Tamandua tetradactyla: one gene and its partner. The protein of the gene in region 1 purifies or fractionates together with the protein of each later gene. This does not show direct contact. Links are inferred from orthologs where the notes say so. Each region holds a gene or a part of one and is shown on either strand. Other genes may lie near its edges.

Region 1 (16,004 bases):
GATGGGTCCCTGGTCTAGATAAGTCCTGACACCTAGCCCAGCCTCTCCAGAACATCAGATATCTCCATCTCCCTACCCCATATCAGTGACAGACCATTCTAATATCAAAAATTTAGACTTGCCATAGCCCAAACAACCCCAATGACAGGTATGGAAAGATCAAAGGTGATAGTGGAATTATACATAGAAGACAGAACTTAACAAATGATTATGAATGCTGAATCATTAAACTGATATCTCTTTCAGTCTCCAGTATTTTAGAGCAGCTAGAGTAAAAACTTACAAGTGTGAAATTGTAACCCATGTCAAAGTCTGAAATATGTTCTACAACTAATTATGGTGCTATGCTTGGAAATTTACAGCTTTTTTGTATATATGTTATTGTTTACAAAGAAAGAAGGAAAAAAAGATTGTATTGATAAAAAAAGTATTTAAGCCCCTAGCCTCCTATATTCTGGAACAGCTAGAAGGAAAAATATGAGAGGATAGTATGGTAGCCCATGACAAACTCTGGGATCTATCCTGTAACCACTTTTTGAAGAGTGCTTTCAAAACAACTGCTTTTTTATTCCTTTGCTCTGTATATATGTTATACTATACAATAAAAAAAGTTAAAAAAAATTATTGGCAAAGTCCCTTGAAAGACTGGAGAAAAAATATGGAACTATTAAACTTTACCACCAGGGAAACCCTTGATATTGTCTAAAACATTAGGGACTCCCAAGTCAAGAGGCCAAGCCCTTGATCTTGTTGAGCCTATTTCTGTAGCAGAGAAGCTAAGTCTACCTATAGATATGCCTAAGAGTTACTTCCAAAGAAGCTCTTTTGTTGTTCAGATGTGGCCTCTCTCTCTCTAAGCCAACTCTGCAAGTAAAAATCATTACTCTCCCCGCTCTGTGGATCATGACATCCAGGGGAGAAAGTCTCCCTGGCAATGTGGAATATGACTCCCAGGTTGAGCCTGGAATGCATTCCTGAACAAAATGGGTAAAAGAAATGTAACAAAATAAGGTATCAGTGGCTAAATGAGTTCAAATAGATTCGAGAGGCTATTCTGGAAGCTACTCTTACGCTAGCTTCAGCCAGATATTGCTAATTACCAGAGTGTGCCAAACCCTAACCAAAACCATTCCTGTTAACCCTACAGAACACCTAGGGCTTCAGCTGAGATTCTATAAAAGTTTCACACACTAAGATTACTTGTGAGAAACCTACAGCCTCCAGATGGGTTCTTAGGCCAGATAAGACCTGAAATTCAGAGGGGCCAGCCTCTCTAAGAATATCAACTAGTTCCATCCCCCATTCTGATTATCAACACCCTTTTCCAACATTAAAAAGTTAGAAGGGGCATAGCCCAAATAGCCCTAAAGATTGGGAGAAGGATAAAAGGAGAGGGAGGAGTTATGACAGAGGAGATAGGACTTAACAAATGACTATGACTACTGAATCATCATATTAATATTTCTTTCAGTTTCCAGTATCTTGGAGCAGCGAGACGGAAAAACCTAAAACAGTGGAACTGTATGTAACCCATACCAAACTCTGAAACCTGTTCTATAACTATTTGTTACAATGTACTTTGAAACAAATTGCTTTTTTGTATATATATTTCACAATAAAAAATGTTAAAAAAAAAATGGCAGGGGGAGAGGGCTAACATTCCACCTGGCCTACTACAAAACACTTTATTAGTACCATGTAAGAGCTGTGGAAGTTTTTTGTCAACTATTAAGTGTTAGAAACATGTACATAACTTTTTATTCTATGAAACGCTACAATTCCCTATGAATGACTTATGTAAAATGTTACATAGGTATATAAATTAAAAACAATTTCATACTATTCTTTAATGAATTAACAGACATTAGCTGAAATATTTAGAAAGGACAGGCCTGAAATATTACATATTATCACCTTGGAGGAGATTCATCCTGCTTTTTAAATCCAGGAGGAAGGGCTGGTCCAAAAAACCCATCATCATCATCATCATCCTGATTTCTCCTCTGTTTTCTGAAAACACAATAATGTAACTTGATCCATGCATATACATCAAGGAAATTTTAATAAAGCGAAATTTTAATTTCTAAAGGAAGCATTAACTGCAACTAGTTGGACAAACACTGAAGCAACTCCTTCACAGCACTTGTATTTCAATTTTTCGTGTTTAATGAAATATTGAAGTCTACTGCCAGATGTTTTTGAGCAAAAAGTTGGCAACTGACTTTTAATCACATTTAAGGAAGGGTTCTAAGTTGCTATTCTGTATCATAGTCTTAAAACTGTATCAAAAAAATCCTCACTATCCAATTATAAACAAAGACTCAGCTTCTTATTTACATGGACTCTTGGTGAATAAGGCTAGATAAACATATACTACATATACAATCTTAAAAAATTCTATGGCTTATGTAGAACATTTAGTCATTTCAATATCTTCCAGAAAAATTTCTAGATAACAGATTTATTGAAATTTTAGACATCTCACAGCTAGTATACTACAAGAATAAATTTCTTTGTGAAAGACATAGTTTATGCTAAAATGCCATATGAAATGGCTTCTTCCTCTACTGTATAACTACAGATATGACATCCCCTGACTAGTTATCTGTTCCAGCCAACTTACACTGGATTAGAAACTTGGTTTATCATTTAATTTAAGTAAGTGACTGACCTTGCAGTTGGACCAGTGTCATCTTCTTCAGACTCTTGATTTCCTTCTTCATACAAAGAACTACTGTCCTCATCACTATCTGATGAATCCGAACTACTGCTTTTATAATTAGGGGGCAAAGCAGGTCCTGCAACTAAAGAAAATTTATTGTGTGTGTCAAAACCAACTACAAATGATTCAATGAACCTATTAGATGACATTTTCACTTTCTGAAATTCACTGGACTGGCTATCTACCATCTGTTACAGATTTTAATATCAATTTTTAATGTTTTATGTACACTGGTTTTGCATTTCCAATTATATTCTTGCTTAGGGAAAGCAGAAATCATATCTTAGCATAACTAGGATATTCACAAGAACACTAATACCTGATTTATAAATATAAATATAGCATATAATTTCCCCAGCAACATGCAATTTTTTTCATTGTTTGGTACACTTGCCAAAATAGCTAAATGATTTTTTTCCTTTATAGATAGCATATGGTAGACAAAATTACACTACCAAGCAAACCAGACCAACAAGTTGACTATTTCATACTCTAATATATCAAACATAAAAATATCCATTCTGGTTTCTAATTAAAAAGAAAATCTTTACTGGCATCACCATACCAATCAGTTAGTGTTCTTTCAAGACAATTTAAGCAGAAATAAAGTCAGAATCACTTTTAAGTTTTACTGCTTACTAGTAGAGATGAACAGAAGAGAAAGAGATTGTACTGGGGTGGGTGGGATGTTGGGGACTTTGTTAAAAGTCCCTTAGGCCCACTCACCAAAGTGACCTGCTCTCTTGTTATACCCCAGCAAATTACAAATTATTATATGACGTCACTCCATGATGTTGTCAAGTCATAGAGACACAACTTCTGTGTTGATCCTGAGTAGTAATACTAAAGGTCTACTGCCAGGAGGGCAATGGTGGCTCAGTGGCAGAATTCTTGCCCGCCATGTGGGAGACGCGGGTCTGATTCCTGGAGCCCGTCCATGCCACAAAAAAGTCTATTGCCACATATAGGCCAAACACCTGATCTTGAGGCTTCCTCTTATGAAGTTTATGTATGCAGCAGAGAAGCTTAGCCTACCAGAGGTAGGCCTAAGAGTTACTTCTGGAGGACCTCATCTCTTGCTCAGATGTGGCCTCAATTCTCTCTAAGCCCAATTCTGCAAGTGAAATCATTGCCCTATTCCCTATGTGGGACATGACATCCAGGGGTGAAATTCTTCCTGGCGGCATGGGAGATGACTCTCAGGGATGAGTATGGCCCTGGCTCCATGGCATCAACAAAGCCATCCTGACCAAAAGGGGGAAAAAAGTGTAACAAATAAGGTATTAGAGGGGTGAGAGAGTTCAAATAGAGCCGAGAGACTACTCTGGAGGTCCCTCTTACATAAGCTTCAAGTTTCAGTTAAATATTGCTACCTATCATAATGTGCCATACCCCAACCAAAACCATTCAAGCTAATCCTAATGACTACCTAGGGCAATGTATAAGATTCCATCTCCCTATCCCATATTACTGATAGTCCTTCCAACATGAGAAAGTTAAAATGGCCATAGCCCAAACACCCTTAAAGAGCAGGACAGAAAGATCAAAGATGATGGTGGACTTATAAAGAGAAGATAGGGTTTAACAAAAGAGTATGATTGCTAAATCATTATACTGATATTTCTTTTAGTCTCCAGTATCTTAGAGCAGGTAGAAGTAAAAACCTAAAATTGCAGAATTGTAACCCATACAAAACTCTGAAATGTTGTTGTTCAAAGTGTCGTGCTTTGAAATTCATTGCTTTTTTGTATGTATTTCATTTTTCACAAAAAAGAAAAAAAAAGTCAATTGTGATGATAAAAAAGTATTTATTCCTTTTAACCGCCAATGTTCTGGAGCAGGTAGAAGGAAAAATGTGAGATAATGGTATGGTAGCCCATGACAAACTCTGGAATCTGTCTTATAACTACTTGTTGAAGAGCACTTTGAAAATTATTACTTTTTTCCTTTCTTTGCTTTGTATGTATGTTACTATTGCCAATGTAGATCAAAATGGAATAAGAAATAAAGACCACCATAATGGTGAACTGATAGGTAATTATAAATAAAGTCTTTTGCCATAATTTCCAAGTCTGGATGCTTTTCAAGAACCACTAAAATATATATTTTTTAAAAGATTCCTAAGCCATTTCCCCAGGGATTCTGATTGAGTTGGTCTGAGTCAGAACTGGAAATATGATTTTTTATTTGTTTATTTATTTTTAAAAAAGACTTTATTTATTTTATTTATTTTACATGGGCAGGCACTGGGAATCGAACTTGGGTCTTCTGGCATGGCAGGCATGCATTCTTGCCTGCTGAGCCACCGTGGCCCACCTGAAATATGATTTCTTAAAGAGCTTCTCAGATATGCCATATGTTCAATGATAACTTAATAAATAAAAGGAAAATAACATGTTTTGGGTTCTTATGCATTATATGTGATTTTAAGAAATTCATATGAACTAACCTATTTAATTTGACATTATTAGAGAGGTATTGTATAATAAAGAACTTGGCTGGCCTTTGCACCTGGTTCTTGGGAGATATCCTCTAAATCTCTGGAATTTCCCATGATAGACCATGCCCTATCAGCCTGACCTCAGGGGAGAGGAGAGGGCTGGAGATTACATTCAATCACATGGGCATGGGTTCAATCAATCATGCCTGAATCATGAATCCCAATAAAACCTCTGGATGCTGAAACTTGGACGAGTCTTTCCTGAGTAGTAACACATGTCAGTGTGCTGGAAGAGTGATGCTTCCAGACTCCATGGGGAGAGAAGCATGGGAGCTTTGTATTTGGTGGCACTCCTAGACTCCCCATGTATACCTTCTTTCGGCTGGTCCTGATTTGTATTTCTTTTGCTGTAAAATAAAACTGTAATCTTAAGTATAGCACTTTTCTGAGTTTTGTAAATTAGGGACTCCCAAATTTATAGCCAGTTAGTCAAAAGCGAGAGTGACCCTGGGAACCCCAGAACTTGCAGCTGGTGTCTGACATGAAAGTGGTCTTTTGAGGACTTGAGTGCTCAACTTGTGGAGTCTGGCCTGATTTTCAGGTAATCAGTCAGAGTTTCACAGCAGCTGGTATCAGAAGTTACCGTGAGAGGTGTTACTGTTATTTCTATTTTACAGACAGGTAACTGAAGCACAGGAAGGCTAAATAATTTGTCTGACTTCACACAACTAAAGAGAGGAGCCAGGATATGAATATAGGAGTCAAGAGCCTATACCCTTAACCACTATACTATCCAACATTCAAGAATTGTCATCCATCCATCCAACAAATACTTTACTGGGTAAATACTTCTAGAGAAACAAACATAAAAAGACATATTAGCGCAGATGGTTAAAGTGCTGTTATGCAAACAGGAAAATAGGGAAAAAGTGAGTGGATATTTAGGAGGGTAATTTTACATGGAGATTTGAGGGCAAGTCTGTTGGAGGTGAAGGCTGTTGGTGGGCATGCACCAAGCTGAAGGGAAAGCATCCAGATGGGAGCAGCTTTTGAAAAGTCCTACAAAAAGGGAATAAGCTAGATGTGCTCGAGGCCAAAAAGTCCAGTGTGGTTAACAAAATGACAGAAGAAGAAGGTGGATGGTACGAAGGGGAACAGAGCATGCTTTCATGTCAGACACTCTGGATTAGAATTTCAGCTTGGCCACTTACTAGCTGGGTTAACTGGTTAAGTTGCTTAACCTTTCTGAGATACTCTTTCTTCTGTTAAAACAAGTTAGCAGTATTTCCAAATTTCAGAGGACTCTTGTGAGGAATGCATTAGTTAATATATGTAATACACTTAGCACAGGATAAAGCACACAGTAAGGAGGTTCTAAGTTGGGAGAGACTTGACCTGAATTTGCGGATAAGAGGGGTTTGGAGGTGGGGGGAGGTGAGTTAGAAAAAAAAAAGGCTTATAAAAAATGTTATATTTGCAACATACTTTGAAGGAAAAGCAAAAAGGACCTGATAATGGTTTGGATCTGAGGGCAAAAAGAGGAAGTGAGATGGCTCAGGGTTTGGGCTCCACTGGCTAGCCAGGTGGGTGGTCATGCCATTCTCTAATATGGGGAAGACTAGAGAAGAGAGGATGGGGGAAAAAGTCAAGAGCTTTGTTTTTCACATTTTAAATTTATGATACCCATTAAAAATTTCAGTGGTCCTGTCAGTGGTACTTTAGGGAGCAAATCCTGCCTGAGATTAATACAGGGAATATAGGGGGTGCACGAGTAGATCAATCATAGAATAGCTGCCTGTCATACAAACCTGGGTTTGATTCCTGGACCATGCATTTCCCCGCCCCACACACAAGAAAAATAAAAAAAATTCCCTATGATACATATATCACATCTCTGCCTCAGGGTATATGTTTAGATGTAGAGATACATAAATGTAGGGAGACACATAAAAAAAAGTAGGGAATATAGTGAATCAGAAACAACATGCATATAAGAACCCAATCAGATAATTTGTTTCCACACTCTTCTCCAACCTTCTTTGCTAAAATAAAACATGACTTTTAGTGGCTATAACAAAAATGAGATCTGGAAGGAAAACCTTTAGGTAGAAACATGGCTGTGTGGCAGTCAAGCAACAAAAATTAGATCCAGAAATGAGAGACCTACTCTTTCTGCATTATTTTTCTCTAACTATAGCGTCGGTCCTAGTCTATAGCTAAAACAATAAAGGAGATAGATACGCGTGGAGGAGTCTGAGAAGCATTTATTTGGTAAACAAAATGTTGGCTATGTGTTAAGGCTAGAAGGCCATAGTGCAGTGGGGGAGACAAATAATTTAAATACACTGCATTAAATATATGATTTAATTAAATAGGGGAAAAAAAACCCTGTGGGGAAAGATGAAGGTGTGACAAAGCATGGGATAGTTCGGAATGACTTCAACTGGATATTTAAATTTGGATCTTAAAGGATGGATAGGAGTTTGTCAGGTGTGTTAAGATATGCCAACAGAGAGAGGTCAGAGGGACCCTAGAATATTAATAACTGTACAGAAATTTGGTCTGGTTTGAGCACTGTGTGCCAGACGCAATGACAGAATGAGAAGTTAAGGAAGCAGGTGTAGAGCCAGAGAACAAAGGATTTTCTGTGAAGGTCTTGTACGTCAGAAAACAATACCGCACAGAAGTTAGGAGTACGGGTTCTACTGTTCTAATTCGGCCTCCACCACATGCACGCTGTGATCTGGGCACCTATCTCGGCCTCGGTTTCCAGTTTATGATATGGGAATAGTAATAGTCTTCACCTCCTATAATTTCTGGGAGGATTAAATGACTGTGAGTCAACCGTTTAGCCCAGCGTCCGGCTCATATTAGCGCTAAATTAGAACACATCAACATCATAATGATAACCCAACGAAAGCTCGCGCAACGCTACGGGTTTTCTGAGGATACCCCACCGCCACCTACTTGCTACTACAGCTTAGGAGGGAAAATTACAGCTGCGGTCGGGCCGCGCCCACTCCCGGGTCCTCCGCCCTCCCGGGGGTCTCCTTACTACTGGGTCGGACCAGCAAGGGGGCACGCCTCCGCCTACCCGGGCTCGGGTCCCGCTCCTCGTCTTCGGCTGTCCCGCGGGCATTGAAGCCAGGAGGCAGCGCCGGCCCGATCATGTCCCTGGCCATCTGAGGTGGTCGACACTACTCACGCACAAATATATTCTATTCGCGCAGCTGCAAATCTATCCGAAAAATGCCCAGCGGAGCGCTGCGAAAGCTTTAAGTTTTTCCGGCGCTGACCAATGACATAGCGGCCTGTGATTGGCTACATTGGGCAATTCGCGCTAACGGAAGTGACGGCTAAAGGTTGTGCCAAAGTCATAGGTTAGGTTCCCGACCTGATGGACGGCGTGGCTGAGCCGGCTGGTGGAGTTTTGACTCCTCCGGGGAGTTTTCCGCCTCCCCAGCTGAACCCCGCGTTGGGGTCGCTGAACAACGCTGCCCCACGGCGGGACAACTGGGTGCTCTGGGCAATGCTGCAGCCGCCGCCGCCCCCGTCTTCGTCCTTGACTTCCACGGTCGGGTTAGAGCCTTCCTCGGATTCGCACCCGCACCTCGCGGCCCACGCTCTCCCCGGGGTGCCGCCCCCCTTCGACACTCAACTTCTTCCCGGAGCTCAGCCCCCCTTCGATGCCCAGTCTCCTCTTGATTCTCAGTCTCGACCCAACGTCCAGCCTTCCTGGAATTTCCAGGCATCGACATCATGGTACTGGAGACAGTCTCCTGAAACGTTTCCTCAGCATCAGAAGTCCCACAACCTTCACGGTAGGCTGTTTTTCCTCACAGTATCACCCCTTTACCTATCACCGGCCCCCTTTCTTTTTCCCTTCCATTTCTGCTTTCCTTCGCTTTCTGCACTTCTGATTCTGCCCTGCACTCTTGGAATCTGGTCGTTAATGTCTCACAGTATGTCCTGCTGGAATATTTTCTCCTTCTGTCCATTCGTTTTAGAAGTTATTTATTGAATTTCAACTAAGTACCGGGAACTGGGAATATAGCAGTGAACAAAACATGCAGAAATCTTTTTCTTTATGGAGCTTAACATCTTAGGGTGGACAGACAATGAACAAAGCATATTGTGTATTTGAACGCAATGAGTGTGATATAGAGAGATAAAAATGATAGTGCAGTTTTAAATACAGTGGTGGGGGGATGGTCTCATAAGAAAGGTGGGATTTGAGCAAAGACTTCAAAGAGGTGAGCGACCAAAATTATGGCTCTATGGGGGGAAGGGATATAGGTAGAGAAAACTACATGTGCAAAGGCCTTGAGGCAAGATATACAGAAAAGAGTGGAGTCCTTGGTGGTTAGAGAGAAGTGGGCCTAGTGTAGAGTAGTAGAAGAGGACAGACTTTGTAGTTTGCCTTGTAGACCATTGATGGAACTTTCATTTGACTTTTACAGTGGGTAGCCGTTGACCCGTTTTGTTCAGGGAAGAGATATGTGCTGATTCAAATTCTAAAACGATCAGTCTGGCTAGAGTAATGTAATTGAAAGGGCAGTCAGTTAGGAGGCTGTTGCAGTTATCCAAGGGAGAGATTTGGGGGACGTGGGCTAGGGTGGAGCTGGATGATGAGAGGTAGATGGATTCTAGATATATTTTGAAGATAAGGCCAGTATGAATGCTGAGGGTTTGGATGTGGAATGTGAAATGAGGAGATGAAGGTAACTTAAGTTTTTTCCCGACAAAGAGCTGAAATTGAGATGGGGAAGACTGAATGGAATGTATTTGAAAGGGAAGAACAAGAGTTGGGTTTGGATATGTACATTCAAGTAGAGTTATTGAATAGCTGCTAGCTATGAGACTGTACTTTCAGGAGAGATGCATGGCTGGAGCTGTTAAGTTGCCATCATTAGCATGTATATAGAAGATATTTAATGCCATCAGCTTGTTCACATAAAACCATTCTCCAGAATTTCTCCAATTGCACGAAATTCAATTTAGGTTAAATTAAATCTAAACACTCAGTGAGTACTGTGTGTCAGTTGGGGAAATATATGTGTGGCTAAGACCGTCCTAAATTGGGTGAGATAGGTTCATATATATGTATAAATTACAATATAAGTATGACTGGTGATAGATGCGTATAAAAGGTGATTCATAATGCAGAAGAAGCAGCTTTTGGAAGAAGTTTCTTAAGGAGGTGTAGGATTGGGGGGAAAAGTGCTTTCTAGGTAATGACAGAGAGATGTCAGTACAAGGGTTCTGGAGGAAGGTTATAGAGGCAAAGCAAGCTGAAAAAATAAACTGGAATCTCATCAGAACACTCCAGAAAGCCATTTGTAGATTTTTGAGAGGGTAGTGTCATGATTGGAGTGTATTTTTGGTGTCATTGTATGGGATCAGTTGGAGAGGAGAGAACTTAGGAACTGAAAGACAATCTGGGAGAATATTACAGTAATCTATATGCAAGATCAGGGTTTCAGAGTTGGATAATGGCAGTAAGAATGGAAAGCAGCAATAGGATGTGAGAGAAGATGTACAAGGTTTCATTATCCTTGTGTTAGAGTGATGTTGGCAGTGCTGTATCAGATTTTACTGTTTAAGTTTCTGATATTCAGAATAACTGAAAGGAATTTCATTAGGTTATTGTCCATTTCTATACCTAAAACATCTATGGACCTGTTATCTCACCAGTATTTTTTCTTTTGAAAATATTTATTTCGTAGACTCGTTTTAATGTTTATGAATTTGTTTGATGTTCAACTACTATTCTTAGAAGGGCTAATTTAGCAGCTAATTTTACTCAAGTATATGCAACGTGCTGTAGCAAATAAAACTTTAAATAATTGTGTATTTGCAAACATTGATCTCTTTTTGTTTTTTAGCTAAACGTTCATATTATCCAAGAAAACATGATGCAAACTTCACTGATTTCAACTTCCCTCCTAATAGAAAACAGAAAAAAAAGGTATTTTGGGGATGTTCTTGAATGTCCCTATGTCACTTTTTCATATCTTGCATTTCTGTCATAACCATCTCCGTGTTTTGTGTCCCTTATTGACACTGTTTCTTTAAAGATGATGTCTGAAAGTAGAAGCTTCAAACAAAGTTTTTTTGAGAAATAAGTGGAAAAATTGTAGAGAAAGGATTAATGGAAAGAATTGAATCCATTTTGATATAGAATCAAAAGTAAAAATAACTGAGAATTATAATTATAGAACAGTATGAATCTTATTAAACCTTGATAAAATAGAAAATAATGTTAGCAGAAGAGGAGGGACTTGAAGGAGAAGTACTTTAGAAGTACAGATTTCTAAAAATAAAATTATATAAAATTGAAAGCATGGGACTAAGAACAAAGGAGGCTTTTTTAGGAATCCATATTTCTGTGTTAAGAAAACAATTCCTTAAGTTTCCTTTTCTTGTATTTATATAAGATTAAACAGTGTTGTAAATTTAAAACAGTTTATATATAATCATCATCTCTGCTTAATATCTGCAATGATTGAGAGTACCAGGTTTTTTGTGTCATTTTTATCTTATTTTTTATCTGTTGTTTACCTAAATTCATTGTAAAGCTTCAGTGTTTTTCATTTATGGCTGTTTGTCATTTTTTAAATGAGGAAAAAGAAAATCAACTCTTTTATACTTTAGAAACCAAGTCTTAAGATTGGTTTTCTTTATTCTGAAATAGCTTGCAAATCTGGTTTTTAAATTTTAAGGTGAATAAATAATGCCATTTGTTTAGAATATGTTGAACACTGTCTACAACCTGAAATGAATAGCCTTCATTTTGGCATGAAAGCTGTGTAATTAACATTAACAAAATGTTCTGCAAGTACAGTGTGTTTGTTCACATAAGTCCGACATTCAACAATTGGAGACCATTTCCTACATAGTCTGTCTTTGTAATAATCTTTTTTCTTTTTTATGTTCAAGCATAAAAATAGCAAATTGGAAAATCAAAAACAACTAACCTTTACCTAAATGATCCATTTCTCCTCTTTCTTTTTTTTTTTTAAAGCATCATGTAATTATTTTTTCTAAGAGTCAAAGTATGGTTTACCCTGAGTATTTATTTTTAGATCATTTTGACATGTACTATACTAAGTCTTCATTAGATTACCAATTTGGAATCTACTTACAAAGTTTGTATTAGCTTTACTCTCATTTAAAGTTTTTCCTGTCTGATCTTTCCCTAATACTTTTGCTAAAAAGAAAAGAAAAAGAAACATTAGAAATACGTTCAGAAAATTTTCCCACATATGAGGATGAAAAGTCAAAATGTTTATTAGTAGAACATAGTTTTATTTTTGTTATTCATAGATTTTTCTTTAAGTTTAATGTCTCTTTTTTTGTTGTTTGCAGAAAAGAAAGGAACCAGTTTTTCTCTATTTTTGTGATACCTGTGATCGTGGCTTTAAAAATCAAGAAAAGTATGATAAACACATGTCTGAACATACAAAGGTATGTTTTCTTTTTCTTGGTTGCTCTCAAATTCATTTAGTAAAATTGCTGTCTATCTATATGTTTAGTAGAATTTCTGACGTTTTCTCCCTTGAAAGCTTATGGTTTTCATAGAAATATTGTTTAATAACTTGACGAATTTGGACAGTGACCCTCGGCTTTGCAGCTTAAAAGTTAGGTATCCTCTCCTTTAGAAAGAAGTGCAGTGGCAGTAAAGAACAAGGGCAGTCTGGCAGCTGTTTGCATGTATGTGCCTCTACTTCTTTGTAAGAGGGCTGGGCCTTCCCTCCAGGTACCTGGGGCATTTCTATGAATTCTTTCCCTTTTAAGACTGCCCTTGACTATTTAACCATATACCAGCGTATAATTTTCCATGGTCTAGCAGCCTGTATGTATGGTCCCAACCTTATTAATCACTTTTATTTTGTTTTTGTTTTCGCATAGGCAGGCACCAGGAATCGAACCCGTGTCTCCGGCATGGCAGGCGAGAATTCTGCCTGCTGAGTCACTATCGCACTGCCCTTTTTTTGTTTGTTTGCTTGCTTGCATGGGCAGGCACTGGGAATCGAACCTGGGTCATTAAGTATTTTTTAAAAAAAATTTGAACCAGAATATTGGACAATTAAAAAGTTAAAAAGCCATTGTTTGGAGAGGTTTTTCAGCTTATAGAAATGCCTTTCAACTTTAGCAGTGAAGTACATTTTGCAACATTGCTGATGTCAAGCTTTCACTCGAAGAAATAAATGCTAAATATTACGTATTATATACTTTGAGAAAGTTATCCCTTTCTAAATGCAGCTCTGTTTTGGAGTCATCTTTGTTTTGGTGTTGACATAAATATGAAGTGATGACACCACATAGATGGGATAAGTTTATAAGTATGGCCAAAATACATCTGTATGTGAAGTAGTAGGGTAAATTTAATGTGAAGAATATTTAAGTCTTTTTTTTTTTTTAACTCTTCTAGTGTCCTGAAGTAGATTGTTCTTTTAGTGCACATGAGAAGATTGTCCAATTCCATTGGAGAAATGTAAGTTTGTGTGTTTGTGGTTTTTTTTTTTTTTTTTGTATGCTGTCTGGTGGGGTCACATTTCATTATTCTTCCATGTGAATATTCTGTTATTACAGCACCATTTGTTGAATTTTTTTGCTTGATTTTGTTTGTTTGTTTTTGGGAAAGTGCATGGACCAGGAATTGAACCTGGGTCTTCCACATAGCAGATACCCTGTACCCTCTACCGTATCTTTTTGCATAGGCAGGCTCCAGGAATCGAACTTGGGTCTCTGGCAACCTACCCTGTCTTTTTGATACATGCTCTTTTTATTTCATTGATCTATTAATTTCTCAACTCTTCATTTTTATAGCCTAATAGAAGGTAACATCTGTGGAGTACTTTTCACTTTTTAAGGCATTTTTACATCACTTATTCAGCTTCATCTTCACAAATAGCTGTGTGTGGAGTAGATAAATATTACTTCCATTTAACAGATTAAAAAAAAACTTGTCTAATGCCTCAAAATTGATCCTTGAGTCTGATTTTCTTGACACCAGTCTGTGCTCATTTTACAGCACTGTGCTGTTGCTGATAATCATGCGTACTCATTATTTCTATAGCTGCCTCCCTCAGTTTTGGTTGTAGGTCACTCATTTGTCAATTGAAAAAATGAGTGATGCTGGCAGGTTACTTTGTAACCAAAATTATTTTATTCCTTTTTTTCTGTTAAGTAGTGCTAATCTAACTACATGAGAAAATTCTTTAAGGGAAAAGTCATAGTAATAATGGATAAAATTATCTTACTTTGCTTTAAAATTGTCTCTGCAACTGAATGCCGTTTTGGGTCCAAGGTCTCCATTATCTTCCATAATACTCATAATACTCACAAGTATACTCTGTGCTTCCTGATGTTCAGCCGGCTTTTTCTCCTAGACGCATGCTCCTGGTATGAAGAAGATCAAGGTGGATACTCCAGAGGAGATTGCAAAATGGAGGGAAGAAAGAAGAAAGTGAGTAAAAATTAAGAACTAGTGAAATAACTTTCTTTAACTGTTGGAAGTCTCAATATTTCAAACTTAAAAAAATTAAAAAACTTTCCAACTTATGGGAAGTTTCAAAAATAACATACACCCCCTACAGAAAACTCCACTATATCCCTATGTCCCAGATACCCAGACCCATCAGTTTTAACATTTTGCCACATTTTGCTGTCATTCTAGGTATCCATCAGTTTATCAGTCCATCTGATTTTCTGTCTTTCTCTCTGTCTGCCTGCCTGTTTATCAATGATTATATGAACACTTGCGCATAGGTTGTATACATCGTGCTCCTTGAACACTTAATACTGCCACATATATTTGCTAAGAACAAGGAAATTCACTGCCATATCCACCTTAAGTGCAATTATCAAGTTTCAGAAATTTAACGTTGATATAAAGCTTACAGTCTCTGTTCCAGTTTTTTCATTTGTCCCAATAATGTCCCTCTGAGCCTTTTGCCTTGTTCGATCCCATCCAGGATCATGTATTGCCTTTAGTTGTTATTGTCTCTTTAGTTGCTCTTTCTTTTTTATTCTTAATTGTGGGAACATATATACAACATAAAATTTCCCATCTCAACCACTTCAAGCATACCATTTAGTGGGATTAATGACATTCACTATGTTGTGGTACCCTCATCACCTTCTATCACTAAAATGTTCCTATCTCTCCAAACAAACCCTACACCCATTTTTGAATTAACTTCCCACACTCATTGGCTCCTGCCACGGGCAGACTGTCCTTAATTTCTGTCTGGGCTTGCAGTTTCTCCAGTATTTTCTTTATAGTTACCATGGAGCTAAATTTAACATCCTAAATCTGTAATAAACTAATTTGTGTTGATAACAAGTTCACTTCAATAGTATTCACAAATTATGTTCCCGTACCTCTTCATTCCCCAACCTTTTTGTAGTTCTTGCCACAAATTACATGAGTCCAAAACCACTCATTTATCATTTTGCCTTTTAGATCATATAGGACATAAAAAATAGAGTTACAAATGAAAAATAGAATATTACTGGCAGTTATATTTACCCCTGTCGTAACCCTTGTTGGAGATCTTTATTACTAGTGGCTTTGATGTTTTGTTTGTGGTCCTTTCATTTAAATGTACAGAACTCCCTTTAGCATCTTGTATAGGGTCAGCTTACTGCTGATGGACTCCCTCATTTGTTAATTTGGAATGTGTTATTTTCTCCCTCATTTTTTTTCTTTCTTCTTCTTCTTTTTTTTTAATTGACAATGCTTCACACACTTACAGTCCAGATATGGTGTATAGTCAGTGGCTTACAGTGTCATCACATAATTGTGTATTCATCACCATTATCATTTTAGAACGT
Region 2 (16,190 bases), on another chromosome or scaffold:
ACGATGGCACTAACTAGAACAAGGCCTTACTCAAAGTAAGTACTGTTGTGGGTAGTACAAAACTGAGGTGTGAAAATGCTTTGCCTCTGACATGTGCCACTCCAATGATCACCTGGGTTGGTTAAGCTGAGTTAAGAACTCCACAGTCATGAATGAATTAAAGATCATGAGTTTTCAGTTAACTCAAGGCAGAATTGCTCGAAGAAAAATAAAAGTATAAATCTAAGTTTTTGGTTAGAGGAACGGGAACGTATGATTTAAAGTGCAAAGAGTTAGACAAGTCATAAGTCAATGAAGAGAAGAACCAGATATCCAGGCTAAGTAGGAAAATAATTCTTAAGAAATTACATTTTACTTTAATTTTAATCTGCTCAATTAGTATAGAGCTGCTCTTTGGGGTAATGGAAAGTTTTGGTAATGGATAGTGGTGATGACAGCAAAACACTGCAAATGTAATTAATGCCACCGAATTAAATATTTGAGTGAGGTTAAAAGGGGAACTTTGAGGTTGTATACATTTATATTATAATAAAAATTTTTTAAAAACCCATTGGACTGTACAACACAGTGAACCCTTAATGGACTACAGTTAATAGTATAATTATAATATTATTTCATCAACTATAACAAAAATACCACACTAATGCAAAGTGTTGATAACAGGGAAAACTGTGTATGTGAATAAGGATATATGAGAACTGTATTTCCTACATGACTGCTCTGTAAACCCATAATTTATCTAATAAAAAGTAAATTTAAAAGAAAAACAACAAAAAAGTAATTATGGGGCTCTGATTTCAGTAATAGCAATTACATGAACATACCCTTTCCCCAATGAAAATATCTAAGAATGACAGACAATGGAGGAAATACACATATAAATATATATTAAGACATCTTAAAATGATGATAGCCAACAATGTACATGGAATACCACTGAACTATATATTTGAAAGTAGTTAAAATGGGAAATTTTATGTTTTTATGTTACCACAATAAAAATTTAAACACAGATACACACAATCACTTGAAAAGCACTGAGGAACTGACAAAATAGCTAGGAAATATCAGCCAATATTTAACAGAAAGTGAAACTTTTGAGAGGTAAGGAGAACAATGAAGCCACTATTGCTAATTTTGGCAAATATGGGCTTCCCTTTTCAATAACCTTCTTGATAAGCAAACAGGAAGTTAAGATCAAGTAATTTGATGGGAATTTTTCACATTAAACTGGGTCCCAGAATAATACATACTCAGGATAAAGGTGAACCAGAAATAAACCCTATCCTTAGAGGATGCTGGGAAAATTGTGTTGGATTGAGCACAAAAGGGGAAAAACAAAACAACCCTGAGAAGTAGCCTGGGCCAGCCCTTGCTCAGATTTGCGATTTGCAATTACTTGCCTTACTTTATGTGGTCAAAGAATTCTTAAATTGTTAATTTGGTTTAAGGTAGATCTGGATTTGCTATGTTCCCAGGTGCCTGGAAAAATAAAAATCATGTATAAAAGAAGGCCTATTTATCTAAAAAAAATTCTTAAATTACAAGGAATTTTTTTTTAAAAAGTGAAAAAAATCAGAAAACAGGTGAAAGGATAGATAAGTTGCAGGGAAGATAAGACCTAAGTCACATTTAATAGTTTCAGAAGTAGAAAGGGGCAGAAGTAATATTTTAAAATAAAAAGTGATAATATCCCAGAACTGATGAAAGATACTTCACAGATTTGAGAAGCCTAAAAAATCTTAAGCAAGATAAACAAAAAAGATATCTGCACTTTTGTATCATGGTAAAGAATGAAATTAGCTAAGAAGAAATAGCTAGGAAGAATGCAGCTAGGAAAAAAAAGATTTCAAAGGCAGAATTAAAATAACAGGTGACTGCGATTAGATCTTACAACAACAATGGAAGGCAGAAGACAATAGAACAATGATTAATAATTCTTAATTATAGTTAATTATAGTCTAATTATAATTCTATAATTAGAGAAAAATTATTCAATAAGGATGAAATAAAATTATTTTTAGATAAACACATACTAGTAGAAAAAATCTGAGTTGGCAATTAGCAGCGCCTCCCTAAAGGCTATTCTAAAGGATGTATTTCAGGCAGAAAGTATTCTCTCAGAGGGTCTGAGATGATAATAGAAAGAGTAAGAAGCAAAGAAGTTGGGAAATATAAAGATAAATCTAATAAACATTGACTGGTAATCAATAATTATTACATGAGGAAAAAGAGATAATTTAAATATCTGACAATAAGCCAAGTCAGAAGGGAGTGATTAGAATGTGAAGTGTACTAAGGCTGGCAAACCAGGGCCGTGGGCCAAATCTCACCTGCCAATTTTGTAAAAAAAGTTTTATTGGCACATCGCCCATCCATTTGTGCATGCATTGGCTATGGTTGCTTTCTTGTTATACTGGCAGAGTTGAGGAGTTGTGACAGATATGATATGGCTTAAAAAGTCAAACATTTATTATCTAACCCTTCACAGAAAGTCTGCCAACCACTGTTCTGAGGTCTCTACATTATCTGGGAAAAGCGTTAAGGCACTGGTTAACTTTAGACACCAATAACTAAGCATGCATAGCTAACCTAACCACTGAAAGGAAAGAAACAAGGACTATAGAGAGAAAACTTCAAATTACAGCAAGAAATCGTCCCAAAGATGACAAGAAAAAAAAGAAACCAAACAAATGGGACAAATATTACAATAAGGTGACAAATTTAAACCTAATATATAAGTAATTCATTAAAATGTAAATGAACTTAATGATTCAGTTAAAGGTTACAGATAGACAGGATAACTGAAATTCAACTACAGATGTTTATGTTCTTTTACCGAGTATGACATTAGCTATGGGTTTTAATTTGCAATTCTCTGATTTCTAATGAGACTGAGCATCTTTCATATATTTTATTGGCCATTTGGTTTTCCTGTTTTGTGAAGTGCCTGATCAGTTGCTATTATGTGTTTCTTTTCTATTTTTGTCAATGTATCCTCTTGACTTTTATTATATATACCATTCCTTCTACTTTGAGTGAATGTTGGTGTTTTTTTTCCAATTTAAGATAATTGATTGGTTTATAACTCATTGATCTTTATTTCTTTTCTAATATGCACTACTTTTAAGAATATAAATTTCTCACAAAGTATTGCTTGGCTTGGATTGTACAAGTTTTGAAACAGTGACTTTGATACATGGTTAATTTAGATATGTGTTTCTTAATTTCCAAGAGAAAAATAATAAAGAAAATACAGAAATATCATATTATCCTCACCCTTCCCCTAATTATTAAAACTTTGCACAAGTCCACTTAATAGGTAAAGAACAGTCTCTTCAACAAATGGCGCTAAAAAACTGGATTTCCACATGCAAAAGACTAAAGGTGCACTTGTGGTACATTTGTTACAACTGATGAAAGAATATTATTATAATTGTACTATTAAGTATGGTCCATGGTTTAGATTAGGGTTCATTGCGTTGTGCAGTTCTATCATGTTTTGTAAATTTTTATTCTAGCAACATATACACAAAATAAAATTTCCCCTTTAACCACATTCAAATATATAATTCAGTGCTATTGTTCACAGTGTTGTATTACCATCATCACCTTCCACTACCAAAACTTTTCCATCACTCTAAATAGAAACTGCACAAATTAAGCATTAATTCCTCATTCTGTACCCCACCACAGCCCCTGGTAACCTATATTATAGCATCTGACTCTATGAATTTTCTTATTCAAATTACTTCAGATCAATGAGTTCATACACTATTTGTCCTTTGTGTCTGGCTTATTTCACTCAATGTGATGTTTTCAAGATCCATTCATGCTGTTGAATGTATGAGAATCTCATTCAATTTTATGGATGAATATTATCCCACTGTACGTACATATGACATTTTTTAATGCCTTCATTCATTTATGGACACTTGGGTTGTTCCCATTTTTGGCAATTGTGAAGGCTACCATGAAGATCAGTGTGCATATTGTCTGAGCACGTTTTTAATTCTTTTGGATATATACCTAGAAGTGGGATTGCTAGGTCATATAGTAATTCTATACTTAGCTTCCTGAGGAACTGCTAAACTGTCTTCCACAGTAGGTGCACCATTTTACATTCCCACCAAACAATGAATGAGTGTTTCTATTTCTCCACATTCTCTCCAACATTTGTAGTTTTCCTTTTTTGTAACAGTTGCTATTTTAATGGATGTGAATTAGTATCACACTGTGATATTTTTCTGCATTTCACTAATGGCTAATGATGCTGGGCATCTTTTCATATGGCTGATTGATTTTGGACAGGAGTGCCAACCCTATTTCATGGGTAAAGAATAGTCTCTTCAACAACTTGTTGCTGAGAAAACTGGGTTTCCACATGTAAAAGAATGAAGGTATACACCTACCTTCTCACATTATATACAAAAATTAACTCAAAATGGATCAAGGAGCTAAATACAAGAGCTAAAGCCATAAAATTCTTAGTAGAAAACATAAGAGAAAAATCTTCATGACCTAGGATTGGGCAATGGATTCTTAAATATGACACAAAAACATAAACAATTAGGAAAAAAACTATAAACTGGACTTCTTCAAAATTAAAAACATTTGTGCATCAAAGGACATCATCAAGAAAGTGAAAAAATAATCTACAGAATGGGAGAAAATATTTGGAAATCATGTATCTGATAAGGGTTTACCATCCAGAATACATAAAGAGCTCCTAAAACTAAACAACACAAGACAAACCCAATTTAAAAAATGGGCAAAAGACTTGAATAGACATTTCAATAATTCACCCAAACCACCATATTTCTCACCTGGATTACAATAGTCTAACGGTTTTCCCTGCTTCCTATCTTCCCCTATAAAGTCCATTATCTACAAAGCAACAAGAATGACCTTTCAAAAATCAGACATGCCCAAAACCCTACTAGCGATTCCACTGTAACTTCTTTTTTTTTTAACATGGGCAGGAACCAGGAAGTGAATCCGAGTATCCAGTTTGGCAGGCGAAAATTCTGCCACTGAGCCATCACTGTCTACTGTAGTACTGTTTTTTGAATACATAATACATAAGTAGCTCCCTCCACAACATTTTCAGTCCCTTATTTTCTGTATGCACTTAACTTTGTTTGAAATTATATTTGCTCCTCTACTCATCTCTTCTGTCTCCCCCACTACAATGCAAGCTCTCTAAGAGGAAAGTCTTTGTTTGCGCTACTCTTATGGTCCTAGTAACTAGGATAGCGCTGGGCTGTGACAGCCACTTAATATATCTGTTGGGTGAAACAAGTAACCTATTTGTTGGAAGGAACTGCAACTGGGACGGATTAGAGGAAATCCTTACATGTTTATTTCTTATTGGTCTTTTCAAGAAAGTGTCTCTGGAAATATGGTCTGCTGTTCTTGCCACATCTTCCAAAAATCGATAATCTAAAAATTATGAAACAGAAAAATGAACAAATGACATAAACCAATGACCAGAAGCATCAATCTGCTATGCATAAAATGGCTTACCACTTAGAAGATTCATTTCAGTAAACTGTTGTATTGAAACAAATGCAGTTTTATCTCGAACTCCATTACATATCAGTTCTGCTTTGTGTTTCTTTACACAGGGCAAACTGGAGAGACAAACAGGAAGAACTTTTATACTCTGAAGTAACCAGGATAGAGACAGAGGTAAAAAGATAGGAAAATACATATATACCTGCAGGAAAATCGCATACAACGTGGACATCTGTACTTTGCTTCTTCTATACCACAAGTTTCACACCTACAAAAGCCCATATATAACTTATTAAAATACCAATTATTAATTGTACTTATATATTTGTAATCTCTGAACGCAAATCGATTTTTATCAAGTCAATTTACCAACATGTAGTCATAGTGAACAAAGTACATGCAAAAGTAACTGATAAAATACTTACAAATGTCAAGCAACATTTGAATACTCTCCTCTATGAAACTATCTCCAAATGACAACTACATTTACAATGTAACTGATGGTATATCTCAAGAAAACATATATTAAATTAAAAAGTATCACCTTACTTTTGTCCTCTTTTTCTAGTATATGCAGAGCAAGATTCACTGATACGTTAATTAGTAATTCCTAGCAATCTAAAAATGTATCTGAATGCTTGTATCCAGAAATTCAATCCATGAGCTATGTATAGATATTTTGGAAGCATACATACCAGCCAAACAATATAATTAGAAGACCAAGTCAAATTTGGAGAGTGGCAGTTACATCTTTTCTTCACTCCACTCAAAATAATCTAGAAACGTTATTAACCATCAACTATTTTCAACTGCTATTCTAGGATCTCCCGGTATTGATAACCAAACCACAGCTACTTCTATTTGACCCTCTGTGTCCCAGCCAGTAATAGTCCCAGGAATACGACCACTCTTTTATTTTCTGTCACATGACCATACAATGCAAAGAAAGTAAAATTTAAGAAAACAAATTCATAGGACCCATTCAGAAAGTTGACAATTGAGTTCAAATGCATTTCTGTCTATTCTTAACAAGTGAATTTACTACCAACTTCACATATTCTCACTGAACTTGTTTCCTGACAACACATGGCCTCCAACACCCCACCACCTCAGGCTCCACGGACACAAACTGGCACTAGTTTTCATTACTGCTCTGCCAGCAGAGCGTAGTTTCCTTTACTCTAGACAACAGAATATTCCACTTTATTCCCCTGATTTGATTTCTCCTCATCTTACCTTGACATGGCCAGCTTACGTTTGCAGCCCATTGGAGCCTTCATTTGAGACTCTTCTTTCACCTTTGTTTCTTCCATCACTTCCTGCTTCGGGACATTTTTCTCTTCTTTCACATGCACTTCATCCATAACCTCCTCCTTTTTTATGTTCTGGTTAACGAAAATCTCCTCTTTTACGTCCAATTTATCCTCCCTCTCTTCCTTCACTTCTGGCCAGTCCCTTATCTCTTCCTTCACTGCCACTTTCTCTTCCTTTACCTCTGGTTCTTCCATTTTCTCTGTTTTCACCACCAAACTACCATCCATCTCCTGTTTCACTTCCAACATGCTTGCTTTCTCATCCTTCACTTCAGGCCCTTTCTCCACCTCCTGCTTCACCCACTGTCCATCCAACATGCCTTCTAGTTCCGACCAGTCCATAACTTCTTGCTTCACAACCTTCAGCTCTATTCGCATTTCCTCTGCTCTCTGTCCACTTTCCTCCTCTTCATCCTCGGTCTTCAGTCCTCTCTGTCCATTCCCCTCCTTTGCAAGGCCGGCCTCCACCAACCCTCCCAAATCCGGGATTCCCTGTCCACACAACTCGGGTCTTAGCCGCGCCCCCTCAGTGCCACTCTCGCTATCTCCTCCCGACGTCCCTTCATTTTCAGCAGCAAACGCCATCACCTTACGGTCCTTGACCTCCGCTGCCTCTGTGTCCCCACCAGGCAGCTGCTCCCACGCCGAGAGGGGTGAACTCCCGCCTGGAATGCCTAGGCTACCCACGTGTCTGGCCGTAAACCGTGTACACCGGCTCCGCGCGGTCACCTTAAATTGCCGTAAGGCAACGCTCCTGCGCGTCGCAACTTCACGACTCGTGGAGCTCTTTACGACTCTGGAGCGATCTTGTCCGGTTTTTTCTGCGATTATCGGCGTGAGGCCACGCCCACTGAGCGCTCGCTTCCCGGGGCGGGGCCTCGCGACGCGTTGCCCCTGGAGAGGCGGCCTTGGCCCCAGTGTCGGCGTCCCTCCGCCCCGCGCCTCTCAAAGAGGGAACCCGGAGCCGGTCAGGAGGTAAAGGACTGGAAACCCTGTAATTAAATCCTGTAGTGCAGAAAGCCACCCTAATCTGTTACCGATTAAATCTAATCTCGTGAGAAAATAAAAGAATCACCTGAGGCTACTTTTCTCTCACAATCATATTACAAATTTCTTGATGTCACAAACTCTATGTACGGTGGGTGTTTATTTTGGGGGATTCTGATGGAGTTCAGGTAGGAAAGAGGACCAACTGTTGTTCTTTCAATTGTTTGTCAGTAACAGCCCACATCAGCCCATTCCCCATTTCCAGCATTCTGCGGAATTTCCTAAGAGAAGGATTGTATATTTATAAATAAAAAGTCCTGTTTAAAGACTGGGACTAAAAGTTCAATCATCAGAAGTAAAAGATCTAAAAACGAAACATAAATCAACAATCACACAGAACCTTCCTTTGCATCTGTTTCAGGGTACTATTTGTTTTCTTTTACTACATATTTGGCATTAGGCACTTTCAAAGCCATGATTTCACTTATTTTTCAAAGCATGTATGTGAAGTATGTATTTTCCTGGCTGTATGAGGTGACTTCAAAGTAGTGGCTTCTTAGCTGTAAACTGCTTTGTGCTACACCTTCAGACCCTGTTACTTAAGCACTAAGCCATCCACAACTGGTCAGGAAATGGCAATCTTGAATTGGTGGACAGAATGAGAGAATTTTGGAACCATAGTTGGGGCATCACCAATTGAGTGGGGCTGGAAGGAGAGTTGAAGGAAGTTTGGAGCAATTTTAGTAAAATCTCATGGGTTGTGAGGAGGAAGCTGCCAGTGAGAGCATATGGACAGTATCTTTTGAAGGTATTCAACAGTGCCAGTAGCCCATGGAATTAAAGAAACTTCACAGGATCTTCAGGCTGGTTTACATCTTTATGTAAAGATGTAAAAGGGGCTAAATGGAAGAATCATTCATACTTGCTAAACACCAAGGGTGGGAGATGAGAGCAACCCAAGGGTGTGTTGATCCTCAAAAGAATAAAACTATCTGAATTTCCATTTAAAATCTAGAGATATAGGTCAGAGGCCAGAAGCATAAGGACTTTCTAAGATTTTGGAATTTCTGTCATTACCTCACATTTGTTCTTGTAATCAGTTTTTTGTTTGTTTTATTTCACAGTTAGTGGAAGGGAAATCATGAAACCATTAAGGATCATTGATAGGATCACAGCTAAGCCCTTATCTAAATTAAACAATCATCACTGTTGGGAATGGTAATTGCAATGATGATACTATTATGGAGGTGTGGAGTTACTGGTGGTATAGTTGAATGGCAGTTTTGAAGGAAGGGGGAGGCCTGAGTGGTGCTGGAAGAGGGGATTTTAGGGTGTTGGAATGTAGAACAAGGGCATTGCCTGCAAGGGGGGCAATAGGTGGGACAGAAAAAGTAAGGAAGAAATCATGTGGGGCTGTGCTGGTTTGAAAGGAAGTATGCCCCCTAAGAAAAGCCATGTTTTAATATAAATCCCATTTCATAAAGGTAGAATAATCTCTATTCAATACTGTATGTTTGAAACTGTAATGAGATCATCTCCCTGGAATATGTGATTTAGTCAAGAGTGGTTGTTAAACTGGATTAAGGGACGACATGTCTCCACCCAGAGATAACATTTAAAAATACTAAAATATACTTATGCCACAAAATAGTAGAAGAGAAACAAAGAAATGTGAAATAGCCCATCCAAAGGAAGATGATAAGAATACAGATAAGAAGGTAAGAATATGGTAAGATTCTCTTTCTAGAACAGGGGTGAGCAGGGCCAGTCACTGATCACAGCTTTTAATTCACTAATCACAGTAAATTTGGATCACTGGGGCCTGGCTGTGAGAGCAGCCACTGTTTCAACTCTCCCTGGATAGGGTGGAGGGTGTGAAGATTTAAAGATGCAGAAGTTCCTCAGGGCTGCAGGGGCAATTAGCTGAAGGGCTGCATTTGTTGGGCAGGCCAGGAAAGCTCAGATTTGGGGACCCATTGGAGAAGTTTTGACATCCTTCCTGATCCCCTCCCCAGGGCATTTTGGAGCAGGTCTGGGCCCCCTTCAGGGATCCCTGGCCCTTTTTTTTGGCTGGGAAAGACTTGACTTGGGAAAGTCCTCTCGGGGGAGAACCTCCTCCCAGAATTTGTCCTCCAGGCAAAAACAGTGTGTGACAATGAAAGAAATGTAAACAAAAACAAAAAACTATAGAGGAAGACAGTCTGGAACAAAGGGATATTAATTTCAAACACCTGGGAGAGGGAGGTCTGTTTCTTGGGAAACAATGGGAAAAACCCAACACCCATAAACAGGGGAACTCCAAAATGAATAACAAGCAAAAATCCAAGACAAGACAGAGGTCTAGAAAGACAGGGAAACTCCTGTACACTACATTTGCCTTCAGTAGACCTTCCTGATAGGAGGGCTGAAGCTCAAGAAGATCTCTGCCTTATTATCAGCTTGTTAAAAAACCAAGAAACAGATATCCCAGGGAATATATCCCAGAGATAACATTTAAAAATACTAAAATATACTTATGCCACAAAATAGTAGAAGAGAAACAAAGAAATGTGAAATAGCCCATCCAAAGGAAGATGATAAGAATACAGATAAGAAGGTAAGAATATGGACATACTGAACAAAGACTTTTAAAATGATCTTAAAAATGCTCAAGGAGATGGAGGAAAGTACAGAGAGAGAACTAAAGAATATGAGAAAAATAATGAATGAGCAATGTAAAAGTCTAAATAAGGAGATAGAAATTAAAAATATATATTTTTATTGAGAAATAGCCACCACATACAGTCCAACCATATTATACAATCACTGGCTCACAATATCATCACATAGTTGTGTATTCTTCACAATGATCATTTTTAGAACATTTGCATCACTCCAGAAAAAGAAATAAGACAAAAAAGAACTCTCATACATCCCATAACACTTACCCCTCCCTCTCATTGACCCACAGTATTTCAATCGACCCAATTTTTACCCTTTATCTCCCCCTATTATCTATTTATTTTTATCCTTTTTTTTTCACTTATCTGTCCATACCCTGGATAAAAGTAGCATCATACACAGGTTTTCACTATCACACAATCACATTGTAAAAGCTATACAGTTATGCAGTGTTCTTCACGAATCAAGGCTACTGGAACACAGTTCAACAATTTCAGGTACTTACCTCTAGTAACTCCAATACACCATAAACTAAAAAGGGATATCTTTATAATGCATAAGAATAACCTCCAGGATGACCTCTCGACTGTGTAATCTCTCAGCCACTAAGACTTGATTTTGTCTCATTTCTCTCTTGCCCCTTTCGGTCAAGATGGCTTTCTCATTCCCATGATGCTGGGTTCCGGGTCATCCCTGGGAGTCAGGTCCCATGTAGTGGAGAGGGCAGTGAGTTCACCTGCTAAATTGGCTTAGAGAGAGAAAGCCCAAATCTGAGCAACAAAAGAAGTTCTCTGGGGGTAACTCTTAGGCATAATTATAGTAGGCTTATCTTCTCCTTTGCAGGAATAAGCTTCATAGGGGCAAGCCCCAAGATTGAGGGCTCAGCCTATTGGACTGATTATCCCCACTGCTTGTGAGAATATCAGGAATTCCCCAGATGGGGAAGTTGAATATTTTTCTTTTCTCCCCAGTTCCCCAAGGGGACTTTGCAAAAACTTTTTAATTCTCTGCCCTAATCACTCTGGGATATATTGGGTCGTCATACTAACCTGTACAAACCAACAAGATTTCACGCTATATTCAAGATTCCATGTAATTATGGTGTTCAAGTAAACTGACCATACAAGTTAAATGAGATAATGTGCTATCCAAAATATAAATTTTGCACCAAATAAACATCTCTCCCTTTGGTCTCACACAGAGGTTGAAGTTTGAAGCTATGGTCCATAAGAGCTAGAAATTTTAAAAAGGTACCAAACAAGACTACTGGTGTTGAAGACCAAAATAACTGAAAAGAAAAAATGCCTAGGAGGATTTCAAGAGCTGGACATGACAGAAGAAAGAATAAGCAAACTTGAAGATTAGGCACTTGAAATGAGTTAGGCTGAGAAGCAGAAAGGAAAAAGAAATATTAAAAGTGAAAATAACCTAAGACAGCTATGGAACACCATCAAACACATCAATATGCACATTATGGGTGTCCCAATGGAGAAGAAAGAGACAAAGGGGCAAAAGAAATAGTCAAAGAAATAATGACAGTGACTGTCCCAAACTTAGCAAAAGATATGAACATCTCAGAAACTCAGAGAAAACCAAACAGAATAAATATAAAGAATAAAACACCTGTCAAATATAGATTACAGTATTGAATGCAAAGGACATGGAGAGAGTTCTGAAAGCTGCAAGAGAAAAGCAGCATGTTCCATACAAGGGAGTTGCAATTAGATTGAGTGCCAATTTCTCATCAGAAACCATGGAAGCAAGAAGGCAGAGGGTTAGAATACTTAAAGTACTGAAAGAAAACTACTGTTAGCCAAGAATCTGGTGAGATTCACTTTTAAAAATGGGGGAGGGAGTAAGACATTCTCAGTAAAACAAAATTTGAGGGAGTTAGTCACCACTAGATTGGTCCTACAAGCAATGCTAAAGGGAGTTCTTCAGACTGAAAAGAAGTATACTAGACAATGGTTTAAAACAGCATAAAGAAATAAAGATGTGTGATTAAGGTAACCATTTGGGTAATTACAAATGTTATATTGTAGTTTTTGGTGTGTAACCACACTTCTTATTTTCTACAGGTACTAAAATTCAAATGCATAAAAAAATAATGATAAATCTATGTTTCTGGACATGCATTGTAAAAAGAGATAAATGGTAACAAGCACAAAAAAATTGTGGGCGTTGAGTGGTATAGGAAAAGTATAGGTACATGCTATTGAGTTAACTTGGTTTCAAACCAAATATGATAGCTATATATTTGGATGTTGAATTTTAGCCCCATGGTAACCACAAGGAAAATAGATGAAAAATATATCCAGATAGAAGTGGGAAGTCACAAGATGGTGCAACCCCAAAAAGCAAATAAATATAAAAGTAGGCATTAACAGAAATGAAGGACAGAAAGGTAAAAAAAAGACTTACAGAGTCTACAAATGGCAGAAGAAAGTCCTGTTTATCAGTAGTGACTTTCAAAGTAAATGGATTAAATCCTGCAGTCAAAAGGTGGAGATTGGCAGAATGGATCAAAAAGCAATGTTCTGGAGCAGTAGAAGGAAAAATGCAAGATGATGGTTTAGTAGCCCATGAGAAACTCTGGGATCTGTCCTGTAACTACTTGTTGAAGAGTGCTTTGAAAACTATTGCTTTTTTCTGTCTTTGTTTTGTATATATGTTATATTATACAATAAAAAAGCTAAAAAAAAGAAAAGCATGAACTATATACTGTCTGCAAGATACTCACTGGAAATTCAAAAAAGCAAGTAGGTTGAGGGTGAAAGATGGAAAAATATATACCAAGCAGTAACCAAAAGAGAGCTGGGGTAGCCATACTAACATTGGATCAAATAGGCTTTAAGTCAAAACAGTTACAAGGGATTAAGATAGTTATATACAGATAAAGGGGAAAATTCAACAAGAAGATGTAACAATTATAAATATATACGCACCTATGAGGAAATTTCCAAATATATGAAGCAAAAAATGGCACATTTGAAGGGATAAATTGATGGTTCCACAATAATAGTAGGAGATTTAACACACCACTCTCAATCAGAAGGTCAAGAAGGAAGTACAAGACTTGAGTGATACACTAAAGCGACTAGACCTAACAGACATATATGGAACACCACACCCAGTGAAAACAGAATACTTCTTGAGTGTACATTGATCATTCTCCTGGATAGACCACATGTTGGGTCGCAAAACAAGTGTCAATAACTGTAAAAATACATTTTTTTTAGAGTGGAGATTAATGAAAAATACATTTTTTTAAAAGTGGAGATTAATGAAATAGACAACAACGCAAAAAAAAAACAATAGAGAGAATCAACAAATTTGAAACTTGATTCTTTGAAAGAATCATAAAATAAAATTAACAAACCTTTAGCTAGACTGACAAAGAAAAAAAAAAGAAAGGAGACAAATAACAAACATTAAGAAGTGAAAATGGGGACATTACTACCACTCTCACTGTGCCAGTTTGAAAAGCCATGTTTTAATCCTGATCCAATCTTGTGGGAGTAGATGTTTCTTTTAATCCCAATTCAATACTGTAGGATGGAAACTTCTGACTAGATTACATTCATGGAAATTTGGCATGCCCAATGGTGGGTGTGAACTTTTGATTAGATGGAGATGTGACTTCACCCACTCCAGGTGGGTCTTGATTAATTTACTGGAATCCTTCAAAAGAGAAAAATTTTGGAGAGAGTAAGAAATGACAAAAATGACAGAAGCCTCAGACCTGACAGAGAGAACAGATGTAGATGCTCAGAGGATGGTTGCTTCACAGAACAGAGACATGGATGTTTGGAGATGCTTGGAGCCCAGCAGATATCACCATGAGATGTTAGGCAAACCAGAACCTGAAGAGAGTCATGGGAAGCCAAGAGATGAAAGCCAGCCCCAGAGCAGCAAAGTGAGGAACCCCTACAGGAACAGAGGCCAAAAGCAATGGAGCCCAGGAGCAAGGTACCAGCAGATACCAGCCACTTGACTACCCAGCTGACAGAGGTGTTTCTGATGCATCAGCCTTTCTTGAGTGAAGGTAACTTCTTGCTGGTGTCTTAATTTGGACACTTTCACTTTCTTAAAACTGTTAATTTGTAACTTATTAAATTTCCTCTTTTAAAAAGCCATTCCAATTCTGGTATATCACATTCTGGCTGCTTGCTAACTAAAAAATAAAAAGGACTCTAAAAGTATATTTTGACAATTGTATGCCAATAAATTAGATAACCTAGATGAAATGGACAAATACTTAGAAACATACAAGGTATCTATGTTGACTCAAGAAGAAATAGAAGATCTCAACAAAGCAATTACTAGTAAAGAGATTGAATCAATAACTTAAAAAACTCGCAACAAAGAAAATCCCAGGACCAGATGGTTTCACAAGGCAATTCTACCAAATATTCCGAGAAGAATTAACTCCAATTCTGTTCAAACACTTCCAAAAAAATAGAAGAGATGAGAACACTTCCTAACTCACTCTATGAATTCAGCATCACCCTCATAGCCAGATAAAGGTACCACAAGAATATAACCAATAGCTCTAATGTTTACAGATGCAAAATTCCTCAACAAAATACTAGTAAACTGAATCCAATAGCATATTAAAAGAATTATACAACATGATCAAGTGGAATTTATCCCTGGTATGCAAGGTTGGTTCAACATTTAAAAAAATAATCAATTAATGTAACACACCAGTGTTTTAGTTTGTTAAAGTTGCTGGAATGCAATATACCAGAAATGGAATGGCTTTTAAAAAGGGAATTTATTAAGTTGCAAGTTGACAGTTCTAAGGCTGTGAAAAGGTCCAAATTAGGGCACCAATAAGGGTTTACTTTCACAAAAGTAAGGTTGATGCTGTCTGGAACATCTCTATCAGGTAGGAATGCATGTGACTGGCATCTGGTGGGGTCTTTGGCTCCTGGACACCTCTGTCAGCTAGGAAGGCACATGGTAATATCTGCTAGCTTTCCCTCCTGGCTTCTCATTTCATAAGAATTCCCCAGGGGTGTTTTCCTTCTGCATCTCCAGAGGTTTCTGTCTGTGAGGGCTCTAAAGCTTTTTCCAAAAATGATTCCCTCTTAAAGGACTCAAGTAAATAACTGCACCTTGAATGGGTGGAGACGTCTCCATAGAAATCACCTAATCAAAAGATCCCACCCACAATTTGGTGAGTCATATCACCATAGAAACTACTTAATCAAAAGATCCCACGCAGCAATACTAAATCAGGGGTAAAGAACATGGCTTTTCTGGGGTACACATAGTTTCAAACCAGCACAACCACAGTAACAGAATGGAAAAAAAAATCCACGATAATCTCAGTTGATGCATAAAAGGCATTTGACAACATACAGCACTTCTTCTTGTTAAAAACACTTAGAACACTAGGAATAGAAGGAAACTTCTTCAACATGATAAAAGGTACATATGAAAAGCCTACAGCTAATAGCTTACTTAATGGTGAAAGACTAAAAGTTTTCACTCTAAGATCAGTAACAAAATAAGGATGGCCACCATAACCACTGTTTTTCAACATAGTACTGGAAGCTCTTGCCAGAGCAATTAGGCAGGAAAAGAAATAAAAGGCACCCATATCGGAAAGTAAGAAATAAAATCTTCCCTATTTGCAGATGATGTGATCCTATATGCAGAAAATCCTGAAGAATCCACAACAGTGCTCTTAGAGCTGATAAATTA

What was found.
Region 2: the proteins of NUFIP1 (region 1) and ZNHIT6 purify together in Homo sapiens (affinity purification with western blotting; 3 studies listed by BioGRID and IntAct, with this or other methods). This does not show direct contact. The link is inferred for Tamandua tetradactyla from reciprocal best matches to the Homo sapiens genes NUFIP1 and ZNHIT6.

Annotation. Positions count from the first base shown.
Region 1 is NC_135330.1:113,887,636-113,903,639, forward strand, and holds the start of NUFIP1 (FMR1-interacting protein NUFIP1), read left to right. Parts: upstream 1-7,878; 5' UTR 7,879-8,256; coding exon of another isoform or gene 8,257-8,344; 5' UTR 8,345-8,559; coding exon 8,560-8,983; intron 8,984-11,047; coding exon 11,048-11,130; intron 11,131-12,530; coding exon 12,531-12,629; intron 12,630-13,596; coding exon 13,597-13,659; intron 13,660-14,557; coding exon 14,558-14,634; intron 14,635-16,004. Other genes in the region: GPALPP1 (GPALPP motifs-containing protein 1), read right to left, coding at 1,915-2,010, 2,672-2,804, 8,257-8,344. UniProt on the Homo sapiens protein: Binds RNA.
Region 2 is NC_135337.1:39,270,992-39,287,181, reverse strand, and holds the start of ZNHIT6 (box C/D snoRNA protein 1), read right to left. Parts: upstream 7,554-16,190; 5' UTR 7,416-7,553; coding exon 6,754-7,415; intron 5,786-6,753; coding exon 5,720-5,785; intron 5,634-5,719; coding exon 5,527-5,633; intron 5,443-5,526; coding exon 5,357-5,442; intron 1-5,356. UniProt on the Homo sapiens protein: Required for box C/D snoRNAs accumulation involved in snoRNA processing, snoRNA transport to the nucleolus and ribosome biogenesis.